Linked DNA regions of Tribolium castaneum. The protein of the gene in region 1 interacts with the protein of each later gene in a pairwise test. Links are inferred from orthologs where the notes say so. Each region holds a gene or a part of one and is shown on either strand. Other genes may lie near its edges.

Region 1 (4,319 bases):
TCTGGTCGAAAATTTGCGTCTCGAGCGCTTGAATTTTCTTGTAATACTCTATATCTTTGCCGTCCCAAACGTCAGGCTTGTGTAGGTTTTGGTAATTATCTGTGTTGGTTTTCTGGTGGTTTTTGACGATCCATACGATTCGGCCCATGAAAAGTATGCTTTCGGCCGTATCTTCAGTGATAAACATCGGAACCATAGACCAGACTATTGTGAATTTGCGGACAGGTGGTGGGCGCTTGATTCGGTGTTTCTGCAAAAAATTGTTAAAAAAACGGTTAGCGAAAAAATTCAACGTACAACTCGTGTCAGTGTGCTTTCTTCGTTTTGCTCAGGGTAGAGGAAATCCTCGTCCCAGCATTCGCCATCGCTGATGAAAAACTCTTTATAAAGGTCGACCAAGTCGCCGTAAATGATCCAGTTGCACAAGTGGCGGTAAAAAATGCTGTTGAAGCAGTGAGTTATCCTGTAAGAAAACCGCATTTAAGTGGTTTTTCAAGGGTGGGATTTCACTTTTTCGCAGCTTGGGTTATAGGTTCCACGCCACAGTAGATGTATTTGTGGAGCCGCCCCATAAGGAGGCACCCATGGAGCCTGTCCTTCTCCACGACTTGAATAATCGACATAATCACATTGAACAATACTTGGTACTTTTCCAAGCAACTTGAAATGAAAATTAACTGGAGCTCGGGGTTTTGCAAGAACTGATCTTCCAGTCTGACAATTTCGCTCTTGTAATCCCCCAAAACATCAAGCACACCGTTCACAAAAGCCTTGATGTAGAGACCGTGTTGGTCAACACTACAGTTCTGGATTTTTTTGCAAAATGAGACGATCCAGTTGTGGTTTGAGGATATTTCCATGATGTGGTGGAGGAGTTGCTTCTCCCCCGGGTGCAGGAACTCCTGGAGTTCGTCAAGTTTGCCCAACTGGAACAAACAATTGCAAGGGGGCTCCACAAAGCGGTCACAAATACCGAATCGTCCGAATTGTGCAACAAGTTAATCAGTATCTCGTGAATCATTATGGCCTTTTTTACCACCAATAAAATTATTTAACCTCAAAACATCAATTTTTGAATTAGCAAATTGCTGCCAACCTGCCCACCAAATTTTTCATTGTTAGAAATATTTAGTTTTGTGTGGTGGCACCCAAAACATTTTTTTTTCTATAAATTTCCAAAAGTGTCCAATGTGTTTTGATAATGTTGCTTCGAAACGATAACAATTTGAATTAACAACAGTTGGAGTAACTAAATTATTTGCGATTGTTTTCTCTTGTCGTAGATTTGAACTTTTGTGTTGGTGCTTTTCGCTTTCGCGCTGTAGTGTTGGCAGCGCGCAGTCCCTTATGTGAAATCGTTTGTTGGTTTGTTATTTTGGCAAAAATCGTGCATTTCGAAGTGACGCCACGAAAAATAGCCCAAATCTGTGTGCCAGAAGTGCGTGGGGCGTTCTTTTAACCCCCTGAAACCGCCCTATTGGGTAGGCTTTGAATTGACGATCGGACGCTAGCTCACTTGATGTTTGACAAAAAGCCGTGTTATTCATTTGTTTAAATGGTTGAAGTGACGTTAGAGGAGATCTCAAACTGGATCAGCCACAGGAAATGTCAGAAAACATAGATGAGTTGCGGGTAAGCGCCCCCTTTCCACCTAACCATGTTGGTGTTTGTGTAATTGGCCGATAGTTGCACATTGTTTCAGCTTATCGTGCGTTAATTTCTTGCATTGTTCAGTTGCCAGGGCCCCCTTGAGCGCGTTAATTGATCTTTGTTTTTGTTCAAGAATATGCTAATTACGTTTCGGGTGTCCGAACTGCAGATGCTATTGGGTTTTGCTGGACGGAATAAGTCAGGAAGAAAAACCGAGCTTCAACAGAGGGCTTTAGAGCTCCTTAGAGTGCGATCGCATCCGATTCATCAGAAAATCAGAGACTTGTACAAAAGTATTCAACAGTGAGTTGGCAGCGTTCGGTCGCCCCCTTGGTTCTAACCCGCTTTTCACAGGCAAGGGGGTTCCTTGAGCAACGTACCAACGCCGTCATTATCACCAGGAAGCAAAGACCACAATATGCCGCAGCCCCAAGGGACGGTGCCGAGAACCACCGCCACAGTGCACCCCTACAACATCGACAGTCGGCAATTATCCGTACGTGTCTTAACTTAAAGCAGTTTTTTTACGTAAAAAAATATTATTTTCTACATTTTTTTCTGTCATTGAGCAATTTTTCCACTGGTAAGTGATTGCTTTTTGGGGAAATAGGTGGCGCCAAGTGTTTCGACACACTCCTGAAACGGGTTCGATGAACATAGACCAAGGTTAGGGGCTCAGAAATGGACGATCCTTCTGATGTTCAGATGGGAGATGATGAATGGGTCGTTCAGAAGTCCATTTCTGAGGCCTGTAGCCCTTTTTGTTACGACTTTAAGCAGGCAATACTTTTCTGATCCCATCGTTGCTCAGAAGGTCCTTTTTTTCTTAATAAAAAATTTGTAAACATGACTCAAGGCTCTTGGTATTTGAGCCATAAATGCGATATGAATGATAAAATTGTCTAGGAATGGTCATTTGATCCAAGTTTTTATTGTAAATTTCTTGAGAAAATGCAATTATTCTGACTTTCTTATTCGTGGAATGTTTCGTAATTGTGTTTAGGTTATTATTTGTTTTATTAATGGCTTGGAGTCAATGACCGGAAATGCATAGGTAAGTCGTACGCAAGGTCATCTCTTTTAATACGGAATTGCAGTTGGTTAATGATTAATGAAATTGAACGATTGGGTAATTCTTGTTTTTATTTGAAAATCGACTTAATCAAAAAACAAAATTAATGAATGTACTTGAGGTAAATTCGCACCGTTTTATGTGTTTAAGTTGAATTAGCAAATATTTACGTATTAGGAGCTTTTTGAACAGATTTTATTGGTAAATTAGCAGTTCTTTCGCTAACTTGTATTAATTTCTGTTCAGTATCCAGTCCAGTAAAATTACTTTGGCAATTATGAATACAAGTTTTTTTTTACTATATTTGAAAAACTAATAAACGCACACAATTCAGCATTTACTATTAAATACTTTACATTGTTTTCTATTCATGTGATTTTTTTCAGAATTTTTCTACAATTCCTAATAAATAAAATGAATAATAAAAATACTAAGGATTCGTTTTCTATTAGAACTACGAGAATTTACTAAGAAATTAAAATTTTAATTCAGAATTAAATTAAATTCGACAAATTTTGATTTGCAATTAAAATATTATTAATGTTTGCTTAAAAAATAAATTGTTGAATTGTCACGAAAATCTATTAAATTCAAATTCAGCAATTAATCGACTAGCAATTTTTAAAAAATTAATAAAAAAATAGGACGACTTTTATCATAAAAGAAGATTGTAATAATCAAAAAAAAATATTTTTTTAATTAGTTTTTTGCATTTTACGCTAATACCATGAAAATTTTGGATAACGTTAAAGCATCAAATTGAAGCGTGTTGGAAACTCTATAGTTTGCGATATAATTTTTTTCGTTTGTGCAACTAGCTTTATTTATTTTTTGACTGTCACTAAAACTTGAGACATCCTGTATAGGTATTTTTGAAAGCAATTTTTCTGTTTTTTTTTTATAAATTATAATATTGTATGTTTAGACATTTTAATACACGAGCATGGGCGGTCGGAGTGCATTAATTTTTTTTTGCAGACCCGCCAGCCGTCGCTGTACAACCAAAGCGTCTACAACCCTTATCCCCAATACACCCAACAGAAATCCCAACAAGGTTCAATTGCAGCCAACAATTTCCCCATCCATCCTGATGTGAAATTCCGTCGTCTCCCCTTCTTCGACATCATCTCCGATCTGCTTAAACCCTCAACACTTATGCCACAAAGCAACCAACGCATGCAAGAGGCCACTTTCTATTTCCATCTCACCCCACAACAAGCCACAGACATCGCAAGCTCACGCGACATTCGACCAGGCGTCAAATGCGATTATGTCAAACAAGTACAATTGAGATTCTGTCTGTTGGAAACAACATGTGAACAAGATGATTTTTTCCCGCCGAATGTCATCGTCAAAGTTAACAATAAACCATGTCCTCTACCAAACCCAATACCAACAAATAAGCCGGGGGTTGAACCGAAACGACCACCAAGACCGGTTAACATAACGCCAATGGTTAAGTTAAGCCCCATCGTGGCCAACATGATTACGGTGTCATGGGCGCCGGATTACGGACGAGGGTATGCCATTTCAGTGGCGTTGGTACAAAAATTAACTTCGTCCGATTTGTTGCAACGGTTGAAGGCCAAAGGACCCA
Region 2 (4,467 bases), on another chromosome or scaffold:
CATTTACGGTTAATATCATTTATTAGCGAGTGTTAACAAAATTTGAGTGTAACATTTTTTTAACTATCAGGTGTATAATTCGACCCCATGTTATGTATGACCAAATGGCAACACAATTAAAATTCTCTCAAGGTCATATTTTCAATCGGCACAATTTTAAAGGAAAAATTTTAAAAAAATTTTTAGGTCAAGGTCATTCAAGGTCGAATTTTTCAAAAACGGGGCATTTGCACAAACTTTCAAGGTCATATCTTTGATCTAGAGGCTTTTTAAAGCAAAATGCAAAAAAAAAATTTTCAAAAATCCAGAAGTAGCTAAAGTAAAAATTTACCAACAATTTTTTTAAATTCATTGCTCTGAAAACCTGATGCTAATCAAAGCCAGTAGATATACTAAAGTAGCGACACGGACCTTGACAGGGCAACAATAACGATTATACACTCTACAGATGGCTCCACCATCAAAATTCAAAAACGTACGTCAAAAATGTCAAGATTTTTTCACGTTTGAAAAATTGGTGAATCAGAACAATGAATTCGGTGATCGTCTTTAATTTCACCCTGGTTATTACAGTTTATGTGTACAGATACCATGAAACCTTCAAACTTGTGCTTCACTCACGTAAAAGTAAATCAGATCGTCCCTAAATTCAACTGAACATTGCAATGAGAAAGGCTTTTAGAATGCGCAGAATACAGCAACTCTTATGGACATTTCGAAGAAGGTGCTGGCGCTTCAACAGTGAATTCATTCCTTAAAAGAATTTGAACTTTGTATTTAACGAAAAAGCCAAAAACACGTTTCAAAATAATAGTTGTTTGATTTAAAAAAATTGTGATACTTACATTTCTAATTTTAATAAACTCCTCTCTAAGTGTTTTTACAGTTTATCGTATGTAATTACTCCAAGATTTTAAATTGGTCGATTTATTTTTTTTTAATTAAATTTAATTTTTTCCCTCAACACTATTAACAACTGCTATGAAACCAAGACATTTTTCGCAATAAGAATAGAAAATGTTTTCAATATTACCCGAGAGGTAAACCGCAGAGGAAATCAGTGTACAAAATTGAGTAAATCAAGAAATTTTAAGGAAATCACTTTAAAAATTTAGGGAAAAATCAGAAGGAATCATGATTAAATTACAGGTGTACAAAATTTGGGGTACGGTTTACACCTCGATATTACCTAAGAAATAGAAATAATACAACCTGAATTTCTCTTTATTATTTAAATGTTGCATACCATAGTTGCTGTAAATAAGTGGCTATAAAAAGTCCACCAAACTTCGATGCGCTACAATTCCCAGATTTAGATGCATTAAATTTTGTGAAACGAAGGTCAGTGTAAGCAGAGCGGTCTTAAATTCTTTCCCATTAGGACAGAATCTAATAATTTAGAAGAATTTTCAAGGAAGTATTGTTTAAATCTACCTGAAATACTTATTGAAAATTTGGTATCTTAGAAATTTCTCTTTCAAGTTGGTACCTAACACTTTATGTTTCTGAAACAATTTTTGTTTGAATGAGTTTCCAGTATTCTCACACAGACGTGCTTCGTAATGTGGACGACTTTGAACAGTCTGGAGGCCCTTTTGTTTAATGTTTTTGGTGTCGATTTATTATTTACGTGATTTAAGCACAGGTTTGAAAGTTCCATGAAATCTGTTCATAACCAATAACCACAGTAAAACTACAGATGAACGCCAGAATCACTGTGCTCTTTACCAATTTTTCAAAAGTGAGAGAATCTTGACAGTTTTGACGTATGTTCAAAATTACTGACAATTTGGCGAACCTTTAAAATTACAGCGTTATTACAAAAAATGTCGAGCCTTGGAAAACTAAACTGCCTGTTTAAATACATTCTCGATTTAAATCTATCATCTAATGTGACCTTTAACGAATATCTCTTTAGAGCATCCCCTTTAGCAATTTCATTTAGTGAAGATTAAACGTAGAAACAGAGACAAAACGCACTTACTAAGGCTTTTCAAGGCTACGCATTTTATGTAAATAATGCGGTATATGTCGAATTTCGATAGTTGCGCCCTCTCTAGAGTATATAATCGTTATTGTTGCCCTGTCAAGGTCCGTGTCGCTACTTTAGTATATCTACTGGCTTTGATGCTAATGGATCAACTGCGCCCTCTGGTGACATTAACGGAACTATCGAGGACAATAACGCTTTATTTGTACTAATTTGTATTTCGTATCCTAACCTTTAGATGTCCGTAGTGTAACCTTGTCCATTTATTGTCTTAGTGCCTTTTCTTTACGAAACTAAGTTTTCATTTTCATGGATTACTAGATACGAAATTTCCTTGATCACGTGATCACAATATCCACAGCACTCTTGACTACGTCAAATGTAAACACCCCGTAAAAAAACCACTTACCAGTAGATTGTGTAGGCCTCTGCTTGTGCTGGATCTTTAACATTGGGTTCATTCAACAAGTCCTGAATTCCGAGTAAAATCTGCTTAATAGTAATCGCCGGTCTCCAATCTTTCTCCTCGTCTAACAACGACAAACACACCGTACCTGACGGATACACATTTGGATGGAACAACGGTGGTTCAAATTTACATTTTGGGGGAATGCTTGGGTACTCATCTTTGAACAACATGCGTAATTTGTAATTTCCACCCTCCCATGGCGTCTACACAACAATGCGATAACCCAACAATTACTAAACAATGCAACAAACTTACCCCTTTTTTACCAGGAATTGAGCACTCCCAGTTCATTAGATTTAGAGAGCCATCTGGGTTTTTCGACGGTCGGGCCACAAATCCCTGCGGAGAAATGGATTACATGAGGGCAATTTTGTAAGGAATTACTCACAAAAGGATGTTCTTTGCGCCAAGCTTTGCGTTCTTCGGCGAGACGAGCGGGAGCAATTCCAGACATCCTAGAACTAAAAATCAGGCTCTACCTCAAAATTATCGCACGAAATGACCAAAACGTACTCTAAAAGTGGGCACTGGGGTATTTAATGGGGCCTTATTCAAACTCTAAAGGAAAATTTAACGGGCTTCGGTGCTTTCTTGACAGTTGACAGACAAAAACTGGGAAAACAGGTAGGGGAATTCGCGCAGACGCGACTTGTGTTGGCCACCCTGTCGCCGATTATTTGTTCCAGAACAATTTATTTATTCAAACTTTTCGTGTATGATTTTAAACAAATTTAACGAATACAAAAACCCGGATTTGTGTAATAATTATTTGGCGGCAAAAACATTGGCGCGAATTTGATTAGTTCGACGTCACTTGCTGCAAATCAACTTTTGCCTGGATCTTGGCATTTTCTTGGTCAAAATCCTCCTGAATGAGTTTCAAGGCTGCAAAAAATTAATAATTAGGTTCAATAAACCGTAAAATACAAGGTGGCTCAAAATTGACGATTTCGGAGTTCAGAACACTAAAGAGAAATTAATTCAGTAGTTCAAATACAGAAAAAAATAAAGATTCGGGGCTTTCCCATAAAGATACATTGGTTTGAGGGTGCACTTTAAATTGCGTTTTCTTCAAATACAGGCTAAAGGTTTCAGTGCTTATTGTTATTTATGGTAAACTACAGGCTGTTCCGTCTAAACCTTACTTTAGAAGTATTGAAAGCTCTAATAAAGAAATTTTTTAAAAGTTGGTAGTCAATCATAATCCGTTAAGTTCTGCCAATGAAAATATTTTCAAGATGGCAGCATTTCCGGTTATACCGGAAGTCGCTGTTAACTTTCTTATTTTAAATGAAAAGCTATGTTTTTCACTGCGTTTTTGGATTAGTTGAGTTATTTTAAGAGTTTTCCCTATACCTAAAATTTACCGTTTTTAGGATATTTAAGATTTTTTGAAAATTTTTGGATTTGCACCTGTCACTTAAAAAATTGGTAACTCGGTTAGTTTAGCGATTTGGAAATCATATTAGGAGAATTAAAAAAGAAGGCCTTTATCTGTTCTTTGGTGTGTTTAAAATTGAAAATGAAGTTAATAAACCCAAAAATTTTAAGGTTAAGTTTGGACAATTTCAGGTACCTATAACTTAATTATTTGTTATTCTTTTTTAGAAATTTGAAAACGCCAAAGGAAAGTTCTAGGCTTCCTCTTTTAAATAAGCTGAAAAAGATTTAAAATCTTTTAAAAGTGGTAGAGTTATCAGTTTTTGAACTGGAAGGTGCAAATCCAAAAAAAAATTAAAAACATTTTGTAATATTTTGTAAACGAATAAATTTAGGTTTAGTGAGAGCTTATGAAAAGAACCTTAAAATAACTCTAGTAATTCAAAAACGCATTAAAAAATATAGCTTTCCGTTTAAAATGAGGAACATGATAGTGACTTCTGATATAACCGGAAGTGCTACCATTTTGAAAATATTTTTATTAAGCAGGACCTAAAAGGTTATGGTTGTACACAAATTTTCAGATAACTATCATTAGAACTCCCAATACTTCTAATGTAGGGTTTAG

Evidence for each region.
Region 2: the proteins of Su(var)2-10 (region 1) and lwr interact in a two-hybrid assay, tested with the Drosophila melanogaster proteins (2 studies listed by BioGRID). The link is inferred for Tribolium castaneum from reciprocal best matches to the Drosophila melanogaster genes Su(var)2-10 and lwr.

The regions. Positions count from the first base shown.
Region 1 is NC_087396.1:21,169,004-21,173,322, reverse strand, and holds the start of Su(var)2-10 (E3 SUMO-protein ligase PIAS2), read left to right. Parts: upstream 1-1,319; 5' UTR 1,320-1,605; coding exon 1,606-1,632; intron 1,633-1,783; coding exon 1,784-1,953; intron 1,954-2,004; coding exon 2,005-2,146; intron 2,147-3,700; coding exon 3,701-4,319. Other genes in the region: Grip75 (gamma-tubulin complex component 4), read right to left, coding at 1-250, 298-463, 511-926, 974-1,021.
Region 2 is NC_087399.1:9,253,738-9,258,204, forward strand, and holds the start of lwr (SUMO-conjugating enzyme UBC9-B), read right to left. Parts: upstream 3,121-4,467; 5' UTR 2,973-3,120; intron 2,921-2,972; 5' UTR 2,914-2,920; coding exon 2,848-2,913; intron 2,799-2,847; coding exon 2,715-2,798; intron 2,663-2,714; coding exon 2,400-2,662; intron 1-2,399. Other genes in the region: transmembrane inner ear expressed protein, read right to left, coding at 3,259-3,344.